Linked DNA regions of Daphnia pulex. The protein of the gene in region 1 interacts with the protein of each later gene in a biochemical or structural test. Links are inferred from orthologs where the notes say so. Each region holds a gene or a part of one and is shown in the gene's direction. Other genes may lie near its edges. The genes, in order: glutaredoxin-related protein 5, mitochondrial-like; bolA-like protein DDB_G0274169.

The links.
Region 2: the proteins of glutaredoxin-related protein 5, mitochondrial-like (region 1) and bolA-like protein DDB_G0274169 form a complex in vitro, tested with the Homo sapiens proteins (2 studies listed by BioGRID). The link is inferred for Daphnia pulex from reciprocal best matches to the Homo sapiens genes GLRX5 and BOLA1.

The regions. Positions count from the first base shown.
Region 1 is NC_060027.1:5,369,885-5,378,467, forward strand, and holds glutaredoxin-related protein 5, mitochondrial-like, read left to right. Parts: upstream 1-3,770; 5' UTR 3,771-3,814; coding exon 3,815-4,082; intron 4,083-4,148; coding exon 4,149-4,321; 3' UTR 4,322-4,448; downstream 4,449-8,583. Other genes in the region: protein HID1-like, read right to left, coding at 481-585, 643-768, 835-925, 992-1,195, 1,267-1,517, 1,579-1,747, 1,810-2,051, 2,117-2,330 and 1 more; slit homolog 1 protein-like, read left to right, coding at 1-74, 145-473; 28S ribosomal protein S17, mitochondrial-like, read right to left, coding at 2,991-3,093, 3,153-3,215, 3,282-3,349, 3,409-3,534, 3,597-3,716.
Region 2 is NC_060028.1:8,960,939-8,970,104, forward strand, and holds bolA-like protein DDB_G0274169, read left to right. Parts: upstream 1-4,910; 5' UTR 4,911-4,959; exon of another isoform or gene 4,960-5,348; intron 5,349-5,411; 5' UTR 5,412-5,490; intron 5,491-5,559; 5' UTR 5,560-5,581; coding exon 5,582-5,830; intron 5,831-5,894; coding exon 5,895-5,963; intron 5,964-6,034; coding exon 6,035-6,115; 3' UTR 6,116-6,188; downstream 6,189-9,166. Other genes in the region: lysosomal alpha-mannosidase-like, read right to left, coding at 68-222, 348-410, 482-506, 593-875, 963-1,080, 1,231-1,450, 1,558-1,820, 1,934-2,127 and 14 more; RISC-loading complex subunit TARBP2-like, read left to right, coding at 6,931-7,114, 7,187-7,325, 7,388-7,587, 7,652-7,716; protein obstructor-E-like, read right to left, coding at 7,827-7,839, 7,949-8,076, 8,138-8,232, 8,292-8,360, 8,422-8,541, 8,611-8,832, 8,903-8,945. UniProt on the Homo sapiens protein: Acts as a mitochondrial iron-sulfur (Fe-S) cluster assembly factor that facilitates (Fe-S) cluster insertion into a subset of mitochondrial proteins. Probably acts together with the monothiol glutaredoxin GLRX5. May protect cells against oxidative stress.

The DNA.
Region 1 (8,583 bases):
CGTTTCCTCTGATCGGTGGCAGCTACGTTTACGTGCCAATCAACTAAGTTCACTAGAACAGGCTTTTTCAGAAGGTGCAATTTGTTATAATTACATAAGATAAAAAGTACTAAATCAAAACCTAACCGGATTTACTCCTAACAGATAATATGCCGTATCTTGTCGACCTAAGTTTAAACAACATCGCATCCCTAACAGACAACATTTACGGACCTATAATCGACTCGGCTATTTTGGAAGGTTCAAAATTCTATGTGGCGGGCAATCCTATCGCGTGTGACTGCAGCCTTGCCTGGTTAGTAAAAAACGCACGACTACTATCCATCGTGGTTGGTGCGAGGTGCGATGGTGATGGCTCACCCATCGCCGATCTTGGCCTTGACGATTTCCGCAAATGTCCTCCTCCAAGACCATGGAAATCTCAGTTGGACAAGACTTTAGCTGAGTTGGCAAAAGATAACGAAACGAAGTAGAACTTACCATTTACGAGAATTGTCAGTAGACAATCAAACAATGGCTGAAGACGTTGATGTCCTGTAGTGATTATCTTGTGGAATACAACCACCAGCAAATCGGCATGCGTACCTAAAATTCATTAGAATAACAAAATTGTTTTGGAATCAATAATATGTAAATAACCACCTGTGAATACTGGAATGTCCATGGGGACGGTCGCCGTATATGGCTTATTCAGACGAACTCCAAAATTTCGTTCACCACTCAACAGAAGAAGGATAAAAACTCCAATGTGCATTAGTCCAACGCGAGCTAAGCAAAAAATTAAATATCGGATTATCATATTATTTCTTCAGCCGTCTAGGTATAGCGACTTACACTGATCAGCACGAGAATCATTGAGATGAAATAGAATAGGAACTAATACATCGAGTACGTCACTCGATTTTAGGACATAGTACAGGAATTTCTGTTATGAAAACAATTAATTGAAAAACGCATAGTCTGAAAGAATTTGAGAAGACAGGATAATTACCTTGTTAAAATCGCACACCTTCCAGAAAAACACAAGTAATTCTTGGTGATTCTGAACTTTCTTATTAGAATTAGGCAGGTATGTTTGTATCAAAGGATTTTTTAGGAGACGAGTGAATCCATGAAGCATGAAAGCAAAGTCTTCTTCTCGGTGAATGCGCGACAAATAATTGATGAACAAATTTTCGTGGATCATTCCGCTCTGCTGCACCAATAAATTAAAGCAACAAATGTACTTAAACTGAATGTTACAAATAACTTAAAACTGATTTATACCTCGTCAATAGTATTCAATTGCGAGCATTGAGCAGATGAATCCCAATCAAGAGTAACAATTAGGAGTTGTAAAGCTGTCTCTACCAAAGGTTCACGACTGTCGGTGAACAGTAAATGATTATATGGTAAACCGAGTCCAACGGGGTCATATGCACAGAGGACATTCAAAAGTGAAGTAAATAAGGGCAATGCATGGCGATTCTCCGGTGATGTGAAATGTTGGACCCATTTGTTAGGAGCCTCACTTTCACCTAAAACATCGATTTTAAAATGTAATTTGAAATGTATAAAAATAACAGAAAAACTACTTACTCCCAGGTGGATGATACATTGCTTGACTAAAACAAGTCAACAGAAGCTTCAAAATCTCATTTCTATTATTATCAAGGCGTGGATCATGTGGAGCAGCATGGGCAAACCCAACACCAGCTTCCCATATAAATTCACAGCTATCTATTGAATGGAGATCTTCATGTTTGTCCTACAGGATAAATTCAAGTTACAGAAAAGAAACCTAAATTTTATATAATGGATATAACTTACAGGTCCAAATTTTTTACTAGAATAAACTGTGAAATCTGGGCAAAAGAGAAGATCACAAAGTGCATTTAGTAAAGATTGGGCAAGGGGAACAGATTCTTCTGCATGGCCCTCTGGATTTTCACCATCATCTTTGAACTGTTGCTTAGAGCTACTGGGTAAACTAGACCAGAAAAAACTACGCCAGTCAGGATCTTCGAAGATGTAAGGAAGCAGTCTTGTGAGTATGCGAACACAGTTGATAACTAGGATAGAAAATAAAGTCATATGAAAATAAATGCGGAAAACTTGCATTTAAAGATTACTTTACCAGTACTATGTTCTTGCTGAGTAGCACACGATGAGTCTGCAGCACTTACTAGTCTTTCAACAGCTTTGTAGCATAATGTTGCTAAATTTGATGGACATTCTTCTCTTAGAACACGTATTTCTGTAGCAGGAATTAATGTAAAAACATCTTGGATATTTGTGATGCTCTCTGACCAAAACTGGGACCAGAAAGTGTTATCCGAAGGATCAATGGGCTTCATTTTCATAAATTAATATCGAAACGTTAAAGAAAAAACAGATTTTTAAATCTTTTGAATTCTGACCTGTGTTTTTGATGTAAGTTGAACAACAGCTTTACGGAAGTTGAGTTTTGTGTCAGCATTACCCATTGCAAAGGCTATACAGAAACAGTCAAACAAATAAGCCTTTCATGTACAGTACATGAATTCAGAAGATGAAAGAACAATGAAATAGCTGAAATAGATACAGAAGCTAAGTGCCAACTGCCCAAGTCTCTGACAAGCGACAAGGCCGACAACTGACAATCAATAATACGTCACTCACACGAGTAATTTGTAACTCATGCAACGTAGGCAACACAGTCTTCACCAGTGAACTGATACTGATCCGATTCCGTGTCGTTAAAAAACGGATTTTTTGAGGGCCGTAGAACGGATTGGTTTCCGACTTTTCCGTTCTCTTACGCTAGAGTCGCATGAAGGCAATAACGTTATGCCTACCAGTACCCTCTAGCGCCTCTAGCTGATTCATAATCGGATTCGTTTCAGTTAACCGATTTTTGATAAATCAGCGCGTTGTTCAAATCAGTGAGCGGACCCGTTTCCGTTCACAGATTCGTTTCAGTTTATTATCAACTTGTTTTTATAATAAGAAGCCCACAAGGCTTTTATCAACTAAACAGCATAGGGTTCATCATGTTCAAACATGTGATATTTTTTGTAAGTATCTTTATCTGAGAAATCTCTCTTTCCAACTTGCCATCCTCTGTCCGGAGCCCTGTGTAATGTATACATTTAATGAGAAGATTCAACATGTTGAAGCAGAAGTGGAAATACCTGGTGTAATCAAATCCAGATGGATTTTTCCCATAAAGTTCATTCCTGGCCTCAATTTCATCACTGAATGTAAAAATATGCAAGCTGTTTGAAATAGCTGAAATAGGTTACAAAAAAAAAATAACTTACCGATATTTGCCCACAACAACTTTTTTCCCTGTTATAGGATCTGTTATATCCCCAAATGTGTATACAATCTAGCAAAATAATCACAACTGTAAAAATGCAAATCTTTTTAGAGTGAATTTTCATTAACCTTATTGACTTGGTGGGTGATGTTTTTCGTCAGCTTTTTGGGTAACAGATCAATCATCACAACATCACCAGGTTTGCACACACTACTTGGATCATGTGCGTACACTGTAACATGTTTTGAAAAGTGCTAAAAAATATAGAGGCCTACAGTTAAAAAATTTTATATAAATAATAAAAACCAAAACTAACCATATTCAAATGTGTATCAAATTCCATCACTTTTACTTTGAATTTTGCGGCGTTCTTCAAGTCTGACGGTAAGCATCGGGCAAGAACAGATGCAAGCTTAGAAACCTGTAATGCAGCCATATTCGTATTCGGTTGCAATGTGTCGATTTTAAATGTTATGTAAAAGCAGATAGGGTTCATTCACCTGTCCTAAATTCAATTAATCAATTTTCCGCAAGATGACTGGTGTCATGCAAAAGTGTTCTAAAGTCTTTCTTCAAGCGGCTGTGCTTAACAGGCCAATTTCAATAGCCTATCTTTGCACTGTGTCACCAAAAGATCAGTATGAACAGATGGTTAAGAAAAACAAAGTTGTTGTCTTCATGAAGGGGGTTCCTGAGCAGCCTATGTGCGGCTTTAGTAATGCAGTTGTTCAAATTTTCAGAATGCATGGAGTAACAAATTATGATGCTCACAATGTTTTGGCTGATGAGAGTATTCGTCAAGGTAATTTTGAACATTACTCAGTTTAAAAGAAATTGTAACCTAACATACATGTTTCCTTTTTTTAAGGTATCAAGGAATTTACAAACTGGCCTACAATACCACAAATTTTCATTGGTGGTGAGTTTGTTGGTGGTTGTGATATTCTTTTACAAATGCACAAAAACGGGGAGTTAATAGAAGAACTACAAAAAGTTGGAATCCAATCAGCTTTACTTGAACAAGAAAAAAAGGAAGAATAACTTGAAATTTTATTTGTTTTTCATCAACTGTATTTCTCAGTCACAATAATTTTTCCTCCGTCAGCTGCTTTAGGACTTCCCCAACAATCTAAATTCATGAGAAAACAATATCACATTAAACTTTCCTGTAATAAAGCCTGTTTCCGATTCATCCACGGTTCTGTCATAGACAAAGACCACTGGTTGAAGCTCTTCATAAGAAAATTAACATTTAACATGGCCAACTGTCGCCAGAATTCTTGCTACCCTTCCTCCGATTTCTCCAACCCCGTATTACTTGTCCTGCCCTCTAGTGTACGTTTTCATCTCTACACTCTGCTTACTTCTATTCAATTGCAATGATTCAATTGATTTCTCTGCTTTTGTAATTAGCTAATGTCAAAATTTAATACAATTTGACTTCTTAATAAAAAATTTTAAGGCAAAATTACCTAAAACTATTAAACGCCAGCAAAGAATTTTACCAAGACAGAAGGAAAACAATCTTCGTCTGCAAAACCCTTCGTAGCCTCGGTGCAGTACAGTACTTTGTCCGCTAGAGGCACTACAATCGATACGGGAGCTCGGGGTCAGTAGGGATAGGGCTAAAAGGATAGCACAGCATCAACCAGTGGTCTTTGTCTATGGTTCTGTGTCTGGTGACAGTTGAAAAATAAGAACCTGGCAACGGTGGTCAAAAAGCGGGAAAAAAAACTGAGCAGACGACGTGGAAATTTCAGATTGAAACTAAAGCAAAATTTGCTACATTTTACAACTTTTAATCTAAACAATTGAATTGAAATGAGTGAATACCCGCCCTACCTCTGCCCATTGTAAGTTTAAAATTTAGGTTAGGATAGGTTAGGATAAATTTTACCTAGGGCCAATCATGTATCCCTTTCTCTGTGATCTTCCTTTCAGATGCGAGGAACACCACCACTATCTGACTGAAAACTGCCACAGTAAGTAAAATTACATTTTAATTTTTAAAAATTTAGTAATGTTAATAATTGTTTAAAGATGTAGAAGCTCAGGAGGAACAAGAAGAGGAGAACTCAGACGGGGAGCAAGATTTTGACTGGGAGGAAGAAGGTCACCAACAAGATTGGGGAGAAGAACTTTTCGATGTCAATTATCACTATGGTAAGTTTTAAAATTTGTTAAGCAAATCAGTGTGTAATAATATTTGTTGGGAATTTATTGCATCCCAACAGTGATCGACATTATTGCTACTGTTAATTCTGTGTAATTTGTAGGGACCTCAACAGAGGGCCCCGATTTTACCCTCTCTTCCCATTCAATCTATTGTTCCCTACCCTACTCAACCCTAAACCAACTATTGAAATACCAAAATGCTGTATTATACGGCAGTGTGAAATATAAGGACGAACTAGCAACAACAAAGGTGTCATCTCTTATCTCAATCTTGGAAGTTGAACGGTCGACACCGCCAACAAGAGTTCCATTTCCAACATGGTCCTTCGAACCGGAGTTTTCTCCAACCAGTGTTAAGTTAGTTTCGCTCTATCACACTCAAATCTTTCTCTCGTTATCTCCTTTTGCTTAATCATTGCCGCCATTTATCAAAGAAAATTGTGTTTAATTATGGCAGGTCAGTCATTTATTAGAATCTTTTTCTCTCCCTCTGAGTTTAACTTGTTCTCAGGGGTCTAGTAAGCAAATAGATCCCTTTAAACAGTAAATTATTTCTCTTCTCTCTCTTGAATTAAAGCTAAAATATTTCCTCAAAGTTTCTTAAAATTAGAATACGATTCCTAAATCATTTTTGAAGGGGGATTCTTTTCTTGTCACGCAAATTATCATCGCCTAAGTAAAATTATTCTCTCTTCCCTTTCAAAGAATTTTGTGGATATTGCCTTTCCATCTCTTAGATCGGGAAAAATCGGGAACTTCCCTACCTCTTTAACGTGTTCACCTCGTGTGAGCCTTAGGTGATATTCTCTCTCTATCTCTTGATACGCCTCCCGGCATTGTCAAAACGAATCTCAGCTGATTGGGTTCACTGCCCGTTCTTTAAAAATGGGATAACGCGGGAATCTCTTTCCTTTCAAGAATTTTTTTTGGGGGGGCTTGCTTCCCTACCTCTTAGATTGGGAAAACGCGGGAACTTCTCTAACCCTTCAATGAGTTCGCCTCGTGTGAGCCCCAGGGTGAAAAGACTTAAATAAATTATCGCTCTCTTTGCTATGGCCTTAGACCATTTCCCGAAAACAAATCTCTCTCATTTTTTTTAATTTGCATTGTTTGTTATTCAATCATTTGGGTAAATCTCTCTCTGTCTCAGAAGGCACAACGATCTCTCTAAATACGACAGAAAAATATTCTCTTTTTTGGGGGGCTAGGCCGGTTTCCCCTTTAAACTGGAAAAAACGCGGGAAAATTCTCTACCCTTTCAACGCGTTCGCCTCGTGTGCGCCTTAGGGTGATTAAAACTTGAATTTTTTTTCTCTCTCTCTATTTACAAAGGCCTTCCGCCATTTCGAAACAAATCTCGCGCTCTTACGCTCTCGCATTTTTTGTTTGCTTAAAGGGAAATCTTTCTCTTTTTCTGAGAAGGCACAAAGCGCCCTCTGAGCACAAAATTGGGAATTAGAAACCGCCGTCTTGCGGCAAAAACTCTTTAAATTCTCTTTCCTAAAAAATTGTTATTATGCCGTTTGTGGGATTGTAAGGAGCTAGAAAATTACCCTAGCTCCAAAATCATTCAGTTTTTGCAGATATCTTCACATAAAGGAATTCAAAGAAAGTGGAAAAGACAGCAGAATTTAATTCGGCACCACGAATCTCCGAAGACCGAGCAGAACAACAAACAAAAAGGCTAATCAACTTAATCAAAACATTAATTTAAACTAATTATCTTCTTTTCGTACTCTCAGCAGCTCCTTAGGAGCCACCTCCAACTCACAATGGCTCCAAATTACGCAAGAACTTTAATTAAAAAGCATATCACCCGTATCATTAACCTCGTCGAAACGTACAAATCAACAGAAATGACGTTGGAAGCGTTTATCGAAGTCGAAAAATTAGAAAAAAAGCTAGATGGATTCTACAAAACTTATGAGATATTCTCAAAAAGGGTCCAGGCTGAAATGTACAAAGAAGGCGAAGACCAAGAAGAGATCAATGCAGACATCGACACCATGTACCAAACAATGGACGATGTTATTGTCGCCAAAATTCACATCTTAAAGAAAAAACGAAGAGAATGGTTAGACAAACTCGAAAAGGAAGCAGATGACGAAGAATGGGAGAAGGACAGAGAAAGAATGCTCCAAATTCTCCAACACCAGGCAGCAACCCAAGCACAACTCAATCGGGACATAATCAGTCAGGTGATCGCAGCCATCTCAACAGCCTATTCAGTGCCCGTCGCTCCAGGAGATGTCAACTTATCACCAACAGCTTCTCAGGAGCCAGCTTCTCAAACAAATCCAGTAATAGAGTCAATTCTCAAAACCCTCTCAACATCTCAATTTGCAGCAGTATTAGTGCCAAACCCAACTCCACTAGAAGTGTCGTCGCTTACGACAACAAGCTGTAGTTTTCAAAACACCCCTTCATACCAGTCAAAAGAAAATATCCAGACGGAAGAAAAAGAGACTGGAACGGCCAGTCTCCCTCACCCACCGAAAAAAGGAGACTCACTCTCGGATTCTCCGGATGGGCCAGACGGATATCCCGACAAAAAAAGGTTTGAAAGGAACGAAATAAAAGAAAATAATTCCTTTGTTTCAAAGTTAGAAAACTCAGCAAAACTGGATGGAGCAGAAAAAATCACATCATCGAACGCGAAAAGTTGCTACAGCGACCAAAACGTCAAATCAGCCCAGTCAAAAGAAGTCCCGATGGAAAAGGAGCCTGGAACAGCCAGTCTCCAACAACGACCAAAAAAAGGGCTATCAATCTCAGATATTCCGGTCAAATCCAGTGGAAACAAAGACGAAAAAAGGTTTGAAGACGAGCTGAAAGCAACTAACCTCAAATTTGCAAACTTAGATGGTGTAGATGCAATGGAGTCCAAAAATCTCTTGAGCTCCTCTAGCAACGAAAAAACTGCTTGCACACTCAATATTCAAGAAGCTCCAGCTACTCCGGCAGAAGCTCCTCGTCCTCTCATTATTCTAGAAGCTCCAGCTACTCCGGCAGAAGCTCCTGGTACTCTCAATCTTCAAAAAGCTCCAGCCAATCCGGCAGAAGCTCCTCACTCTCTTAGTCATCAAGAAACTCCTACTTATCAAGCAGAAGTTCCTGACACATTCAAT
Region 2 (9,166 bases), on another chromosome or scaffold:
TCAAAAAGATTTCAGGACTCGTCTGTCTGATTGACGGAACTCGAAATGCTCTGAATTAATGTCACACCTCCGTGCGGAAATTGTTCTTCCAATTGGTGAACGACAGACTGGTGGCGCTAAAGGACATCCACGGTCTCATGAACATTTGCTGGGCCAATGGTCGGATCAAGGAGACGGGATGATTCCCAGCCAGCGACGGGTTGACCAACAAATAATGCGTACCTATTATATTACCCGCCGTCGTCATTAAAAATTTACCGGTGTGTGTGTGTGCGACACACGAATTAATGACCGTGACATCAATAGTGCTGCTGCTGGTCATTAAATTGTCAACTTCAAATACGTACCCCTAACGACTAGACCCGGCCCATCACCAGGTTCGTTCAATGGCTCGCCAACTCCAAAATGATCTTGAGAAAAAGCCCAAAATTTATTTTATTACTCCCAATTTTGTTTGTTTTATTTGAAAACAAAAAATTACCATCATACAACAGCCGACGATGAACCTATCTCCAAAAAAAGTGAGTAAAAACCCCCAAACAAATAAAGTTAAGTAATGCGCATAAATTAAAATTGTCTTATATTGCCTAACCATGAGTTCAATTTGGCCATCTTTCAGGCTGGTTCCTCCTTGTGATCGGTCGTTGACAAGGGCTAGGACCGCTCCGGCATTTTGCTCACTGTCAGTGACGTAAATGTGGGAATTGATGGGGTAGTAGTTTCCAGAGACGGGCTCCGTGACGTCCAGTGTCCAAGTGGGACGAAAATCTCTCCGGCGCAGCAAGGTTTGGCGGCCGTTGGAATCGGTATAGAAGCGACCCCCGCTAGGTATTTGTGTCGTCACTCGACTGACAATCTCCTTTCCAATTCCGTCCCTGATTTTATTTTATTTTATTTTGTTATTTTCGAAATAGAATTCTTTCGTCATGTTGCCGCGACAGTGAAGAACTGGAATCACATACCCGACGGGGATCGGTCCCACGGTCCACTCAATCTCCACATCACTCTGGCCTTTGTAGACGCGCACCACTTGGCTGGCCCAGTCGCTGAATTGCTGATAAACTTCACTTACCAAGGCACCTTATAGTAGATGTAATCGTATAAAGTCAGTTTTTTTTTTTGCTTTTTGGTCCGGCCAATTTATCGATTCAAAGGCGGCCCTTTCGCTTGTATGCCCTTTTGTTTCTTATTCATATTAGAATATGCGTCCGAGTGGGTATTTATACGAACCTGTTTGAACGATAAGAGTGGCCTGCGTTGAGATGGGTGTGGCGTCAGTGCCGTTGGGACGGAAGACGTAAGCGCCAGACGGGCGATCGTCGAAGATACTGTTGGCGTTTCCTTCATTCATTCCAGCGTACCACATCAAATTCTGGCTCATCATCACGGTTACTCCATCAACGACTACGCTCTCGATTAAGCCGTTGGCGTCGAAATTGACCGACAGTTTCTGCACATTAGACACCCCCCGGCGGCAGCGGAGAATATACGCACGTACGTATGGATACCAAACTTGGGTTATCATGGCATATGATGAATGATTGTGTTTTAGATTACCCCATTGCTGACGGCGATTCTTTCGCCGGCTTCTGCCATACGAACGGTTGTCGACTGCCGCTCCCTGCTGCTGGTGATGGTGGAATGTTGCTGACCGTGCCGAGCGCTAGATTTCACGATGTAGAACGTTTTGTGGCCGAGCGCTGGAATGCTGGCCGCCTGGAACACTAACTCGTGTGTAGCTGATGATTTGGGTCTTTCAGTTTCGATCGATCGGAGTGCCGCATTGACGAGCGGGACCAGTTGGACGATCAGCTCGCTACCTGTTGGTATTGTGAACGACAATCAATCAACTTTCAGGCGTCTTTGTGGCGAGACCCACTCCCTTTTTTTTCTTGATTATTAAATTTTATTATTATCGAGTCGATTATATTACCGTCGGGGTCCAGAACGGTGTAGACTCCATTCATAACCGGTAATCGGACGTAAGTGGTCACCTCATGAGAGCGCGGATTGTAGACGGTCGTTACGAAACGAGAAGACGATTCCGTAATGGCGCATTGGCTCACGTTCAAATGAAGGCAAAACTCTTGTGGTGGCAATGCCTGGCTGCCGATCGGAAGTAGCTGGCTGGGTTTTCCCCGGTTTAAAATTTGGTTGGTGAATTTTTTGGGTTTGAAAAAAAAAGGAAAATTTGTGAAATTTTGTACCTGAAAGAATTGCCCACATCCTTTTGACAATCGACGAGACTGTCGTGCAATCTCAGCCTATAATCTGGCGGTTAGAAATTATCGTCATTTCACAAAAATTCAATCATTCAACCGTGAACAAACACACTGTGATGTTTACCTTGGGAAACGTGTTCCTTCTCGGTGCCAGCCACAGCATCTTTTTTCGTACAAATATTATACATCAGTGTCATTAGTGTTTTAGCCCGCATGTAATAATAATAATATAATGAAAAGAATCTAAGGCTCTGATTGCCTACCGTGATGTTGTGCCTCTCCCATGCTGCGTCTGAGACTATCAATCAGATTTTGGCCGCCGGCAGATTGGCCAGCCAGCGAATGGAGTTGCTTGCAACTCTATACACGGGAAGTTTGTATTTTTATTCAAGAACACATTTCAACGCTTGCACCTGGTGTCAGTTTTTTTGGTTTTTTGGTTGGGGGGAAATTTGTAGTACCTGAAGGAAAGTGTTGGCTTTCCGCACCGTACCCTTGTAGGCTGGCCGAGATGTAAAATAACCCGTCCAGTAGGCGTGCGGATCATTTGAGTAAGGAAAGAAGTCATCCGTCTTGGTCGGCCACGGCCGGCTTCCGGCTTCGTTGTTGATAGCCTTGACATAACAGCTGGGCGTCGAGTAAAACAGGTTGACTCCGCTGGCCAACTCGTTAGTGTAGCGTATCATTTTATCCATGTTCTTAAAGTTCATGTCAGCTTCAGTGCCCAAAAATTGAATATAAAAAGGGTAGGAAATGAATTGAATTAATTTTTTGAAAGGCCTCATTAGAAACATAACATTTCTGTCATTATTCCGTAGGACATGTCAAGCTCGAGCACTTGTAATAGTATATACCCGACATGTAGTTGAAATCATCGCCCATGGTGAGCATGATATTACTGGTGGAGTAACTGAGAGCCTTGGCTTTGATGTGCGCTTCTAAATCCTTCACCTATTAGACGTTTGAATTGTCGTTTTACTAATTGAAATCGTGCTGAAACGGGAGGATTTATTCGCTTGGATACCTTTTTCACGACGTTGTAGTCGGCAGATCTAGGACTGTCGATAAACGGCTCGTCTCTGCACACGACATCAAAGCAGAAACCGTTGGGAGCCGAGTAATGCTCGTAGAAGATCCCCGTGAAGATGGAATTTGGTTCACCTGTTATATAATAATATCGTTCTCAACGGTTTACAGCGAGCAGCGCAGCTAGACATTGAAGATCTAGGATTTCTGGAAGGGTTCATTACTATACCAGGGCTGTTGCTAGTATGCCAGATCATCTCCATTTCCTTCTTGGCTTTCCGTTGAGTCCTATCAACCCAGTCGATCCTGCCAAAGAAGACACCGTCGAAACCCTACACCGTTTTATATACAGGAGTACAACACGCGAATGACTCGGAAACTAATCAAATCTTCTCTCAAATAGGATCGCATTTCGATTACCATGGAAGCAAATATGGACGCCTGCTCCCTCGAGTGGCCGAACGGATCAATCTGCCAGCCGATTTTAGGGCGGCCACACTCGCCAAATGTATCGTTTAAGAACCTGTGAAAGTGCATTTAAAAGTTATTTGGACGACCTTGGCCCTTTAACTGTCAAGTTACTCGTGTGCGTACCTCATTCCCCAGGTCATTTGATCGATGATGTCGTTGTAGTGCGTTCCAGCTTCGTCGTTCATGCACCAGCCGCCATTTATGAATTCGAGACGGCCTTCTTCAACTAATTGCTTGACGACAGCCTTTTTCTCTTCTGTTTGCTCTTGCCACCTTTGGAAATGGATCAAGTATATAGTTGCTGCCAGTTCTCTATTAAACAGTTTGCATTTTTAATGGCCGAAAATTGCATAATGATTGCCTACCATTGCGAAAAGAAGGCCATTTCCACATAGATGAATCTGAATGAGCCAAAATGGTCGCATTGCAGTCAATTAGTATAATATCCAATTAAAACGGAAAATGTGTGTTCAGAAAACCTCCTTGCCGGATCTTTCACCAACTCCTTGATGACGGAATCAATGATGTACTGTACGCCTGCTCTCTGGTAACCCGTTTTCGCTTGGAAAGTTTGTTGAAAAAGTTAACTTTGAATCGTCATTTTATATTTTAAGTGTTCATATTTACAGCCATAGTAGTATTGATCGACCGTTTTCAACCACCCGACGTCGTCGTGTGTATCTGCGGAAAGTGTATCACAACGTGATTAATTGGACAAACGAAAGAATCAAACAAAAGTTAATTTTATAATTTTTCATACGCGGAACGACGTGAACATTGATCACTCCCGGTTTACTCGGCGTACAGCTCTGCGATAAAGAAAAAATCAATATGGCAGTAATGTGATATATTTACACTTAAAAAAAAAAAAAAAAATTTGTTAAAAGAAATATGTTTCTGTTTACATCATAGCCGCAGGAAGAGGCTCGCTGCTGGGGAGCGGCGTCGGTCGTGATCCAACAGCAACCGAACGCTAGAAGCGAAACGATGCCGATAAAGGGTAGCTTCATCTTGTATAAAGCTGAAATGCTGATGGTCTCAGCACTGGTGCGACAAGGAAACGTCTGGCGAAAAATCTCCGGTTCAGTTCAGAGTTAGTTCACTGTACGTATCTCTTCAACTTTCACTTGCATCTCTGAAGTCTGGAATATTTGGTTTTGTTTGTCCGGTTTATCTAATCGCTGAGGCTAGATCCAACGGTCGACTTGACTTACACACTGCTGGCCCATCAAATAAGCGGGTAACAGCATGTCAAATTATTCTTATATATTCACCCGCAGTAACATGTTAGCAACACAGCACAGCAGAAAATCGCTTTTTTAACTTGAGATGATCGGATAAGTTTTTTGTTTACGCTTCTCGTAACGTGGAATCTTGACTAACAATCCGATGAGTGGCAGTGTAAATATTTGTTTATTTCGGAGCACTCTGAACCAGAAAGAAAGATATTTTAAGATGTTTATTTGATAACAGAATATTGAGCGAAGATGACAGATAGCAGTGTGGCTGCGCATTTATGTTACACAACACAACTGACATTTGATGATTTAACTCACAAGAAAAAAACACATCTAGCTAATGAATGACCTCAATGACTTACACAGTTTTTCAAATCACAGCAGATAATTCCGAATGATTAATTTGGTATAATAATTTCAAATATTGTCGATTTTCTTTTTAAAATGCATCAAGATCGGCATCGTTGCCTAGAAAGAAAACAACAACATCGCAACTTTCGTCTGCTTTTTCGTCTGCATTTTTAACAAGAAGTGTAAGTAGGGCTTAATCACGACTTAATCTAAATTTACTTTGATTGATTTAAAATTCTCCGTTTGAACAGGGTTGCTGCGGATGATAATGATATGCTAGCTCGAACTTTTAGAGTTTTGTCCCCTTTTCATTCATCATTTTCATCGAGGACTATGACTACCATTCCGATTCAAAACAACCCAATGGAAATGTCAATTCGTGTAAAGCTCACTAATCAATTTTCACCAGTTCATTTAGATATATTCAATGAGTCATACATGCATAATGTACCGAAAGGAAGTGAGACTCATTTCAAGGTTGTGGTTGTTTCAAGCAAATTTGAAAACACACCATTGTTACAGGTATCAAGGCATTAACAATTTACATTTCAAGATTGAATTTTGATTTGATTTTTCTTATTATTAGAGGCATAGGTTGGTAAATGAAGTACTCTGTGATGAGCTAAAAAATGGAGTTCATGCTTTATCAATTGTTGTGAGTTACATTGGTTAACTTTAGAAATGATCTATGGTGGTAACTAATATTATAATTTGTTTAATCACTAGGCAAAAACACCTTCACAATGGGAAGGTTCATCTAAAGTTACTGAAAAAAGTCCAGCATGTAAAGGTGGTTTTGGCAAATAACTATTGGGCTCTTTAAATATTCAAAGCTGCTTTCAAACATCAGTCAGTAAATAAATGTATTTGTTTCACTCTTCCAGGTGTCTCAAACAGACTTACTGAATTATTATTCAATCTTTTCCTAAAACTTTAAGATTATTTTATGAGTATTAAAATTAAAATTTCAAATTTTACACTGTAGTTGGTGACATATAAATAGGGTTATTCCAGAAACATATATTCTTGCTTTACTGAAGATGTATTAGGAAGTGTAATTAAATTCCAATTCAACTTCAATACGACAAGCTTCAGCCTCAGCGATTTGTTTCACACATATTACATTTGAACCCACCGACCGTAGAATCCACCAAGTAGAACATCTTATTAATAATTCAGTCATTCATTTTTAGGGTTGTTTGACCTAGCCCGTATGTTTAACGAAGCAAACAATTCTTCTCCTCACATTTTCAATTTTTCATATTGACAGTCAATATTCATATTTGGCTGAATTCTCGTGAAAAGAAAAATTAAATACTTGCTTCTTATTTACGATTGAAATTTTAGCTGCCGCTGCAGTCATCTAAATTCTAAAATTACATTATTATTTTTTATCGACATAGCACATAGCCGGGAAAACATATGAATCGCGTGGTCGACTATGTATCGATTACTTAATCGATTCGATTATATTTTGAACACCGTTGAGCGGTGGCGGTGCAGATTCGTCAACTGATCATCACATTGCAAACAGTCTTTAAGCCAGCAGGTGTTTGGAAGTGGTCATTGTTTTTGTTGCTAATGCTCAAATCCGCAAATAACATAAGAAAACATCACTAACAATGGCAGAAGTTTCCCTGAGAGAACCAAGTGCTGCTCAAGAAAAGACTTTTGTCAGTGTGTTTCATGAGCTTTGTACAAAATTTGACTTTGGAGTAGCCATGTATAACTTGGTGGCTGAGCAAGGCGAACCCCACAGTCGAACTTTCTTGATGAATTTGACTGTAGACATGTTGGGTATTTCAGGTAACCCTTTAATTGCTATAAATTATCGTTAAAAATCTGCAAATAATTGAAATTTGATCTATCTATCACCAGTTGAAGGCATTGGCTTAACCAAGATGCAAGCAAAGCATGATGCTGCCTATAAAATGATGCTTCAAATCAGGGAGACTTATCGAGCCGATGGAACTCTCAACAATGTCCCCAGAGTAAAACTCGTGAACTGCTGTGAATGGTTTGTTCAATTTGTTTCTATTTTTTCTACGGGCCTCTTTTATAGACTTTTTTTTTGAGCAGGCTGGAAAAATGTGGAACACTAAAGGAAGACATACCCAAACCACCAACAGAACCAACTCTAAATCCATCTGGGGTTCTCACAGAATGGTGTTTGACCAGACACAGCAGTCTTCCTGATTACAGGGTTGTTCGAACTTCAGGTCCTTCTCACTCCAAAACATATTTTATGACTTGCAAGCTTGGGGATCGTATCACTGAAGGTAGGGTTTATCATTTGAAATTTTATTCTCAACATTTTTGGAAAACACCTTACTTTTGTATCAGGTGAGGGAAAGTCAAAGAAGGCTGCCAAAAATGTCGCTGCCGGAAAAATGCTCCAGATACTTTAAGACGAAGAGTTGTAATAGCTATTCCGAGAAACGTGATTTCATAAGTGCACGCTGGATATGGAAAACGATATGAACTTGTAAAAATTTGTCCCGTTCAGTTCTTGCAGGGCCTACACATTTTCGCTGTAGTAGAGGTAAAGCAACATTCATGTTGATTGTTTAAATTTTAATATGGACTCGTGGCCTTGTAATTTTGCTGTACGTATGTAAAATATTAACGGTGGGTGCTTACCATTCTGGGACGTTTTCAGGTTTATCACAAAAGAAAGTAGCAGGGTTGTAGATTGTACCAAGTGGACATCCTCCTAATCGAGGTCGACCACTCTTCAAGCACATGAAGAAATGTCGACAATCTCCCTTCTGTTTTTCATTATTGAATTTAGTAATGGAATTCCAGGAGGGTATCTAGACAAATTCTCACTTTTGGAAAGCGTTCGTGATCGCCAAATTGCAGTACAACTTCGTCTGATTGAACATTAGATCCGTGGGGGCATGTGAAGTCCAAGATCTTTTCAGCTTTGCATTTTAAAAGTGGTTTTAAAGGAAATTTTAACTAATTTGAATATTTTAGGCACCTGAGCATTCGGTACGATTAGCCATATCGGGAAACTCGCAAACAGCTTGGTCAATGTCGAAAATTAAACCTTATAAAGGATGTTTTTAAAATTTAGGTCTCGTTTTGAATTTTGGCACAACGTTGTTTACCTGGCGGGCAGTTTACTTTGGTGGGTGTGCCTTGTTCACATTCACTATAAGCAAAGCATTCATTTTCGATGGGAAATCTTCCGTAGAGTCTTGGGCAGAGGGCGTTTCCTTGTGGCGATTCTTTTAAGATACAAGATTTTTGTGGTCATTGTTTAACAAAGTAATTAGAATACCAAATGTTTTGCTCACGTAAGCGCTTCCTTCTGCCGCATTTAACCCTTTGAATCATGAAACAGGCCTGGCTTTCAGGCTCATAGACCTGTCCGTCTGGACAAAGTTCTTCAGTTATTTGCCCATCCTTACATTTGTAAAATAGGTCACACTGATCCGAATCAGCGATGTAGTAAGGGAATCGTCTTTTTCGACATAGCCGCACGGGATCGCCATTGGTCACGTAAGCCAAGATATTTACTATAATACATGGGAAAAAAACGATTTTGATTTTGGTGAGGTTCACTCGGTATAATATGGGGAAAGTAACCTGCGAATGCGCAGTAAATCAACGTTGCAACACACTTGACCATGGTTTACGACACAGCAATGATTGCTCAATGACTCGACAAGGACTCGGCACGACGTCCTTTATGTACTTTACTTGATCTGTACTGCATGACCATTGAGTAGAAATCCTGCTATCTCTTCCACGAACCCCCTATTATGGGAAAATTGGATGGCGATTCGATGTAATACGGAATAGCCAAGGACGTGCTCGTTATCTCTTTTGGGTTCCCAAGGAAAGCTTTAG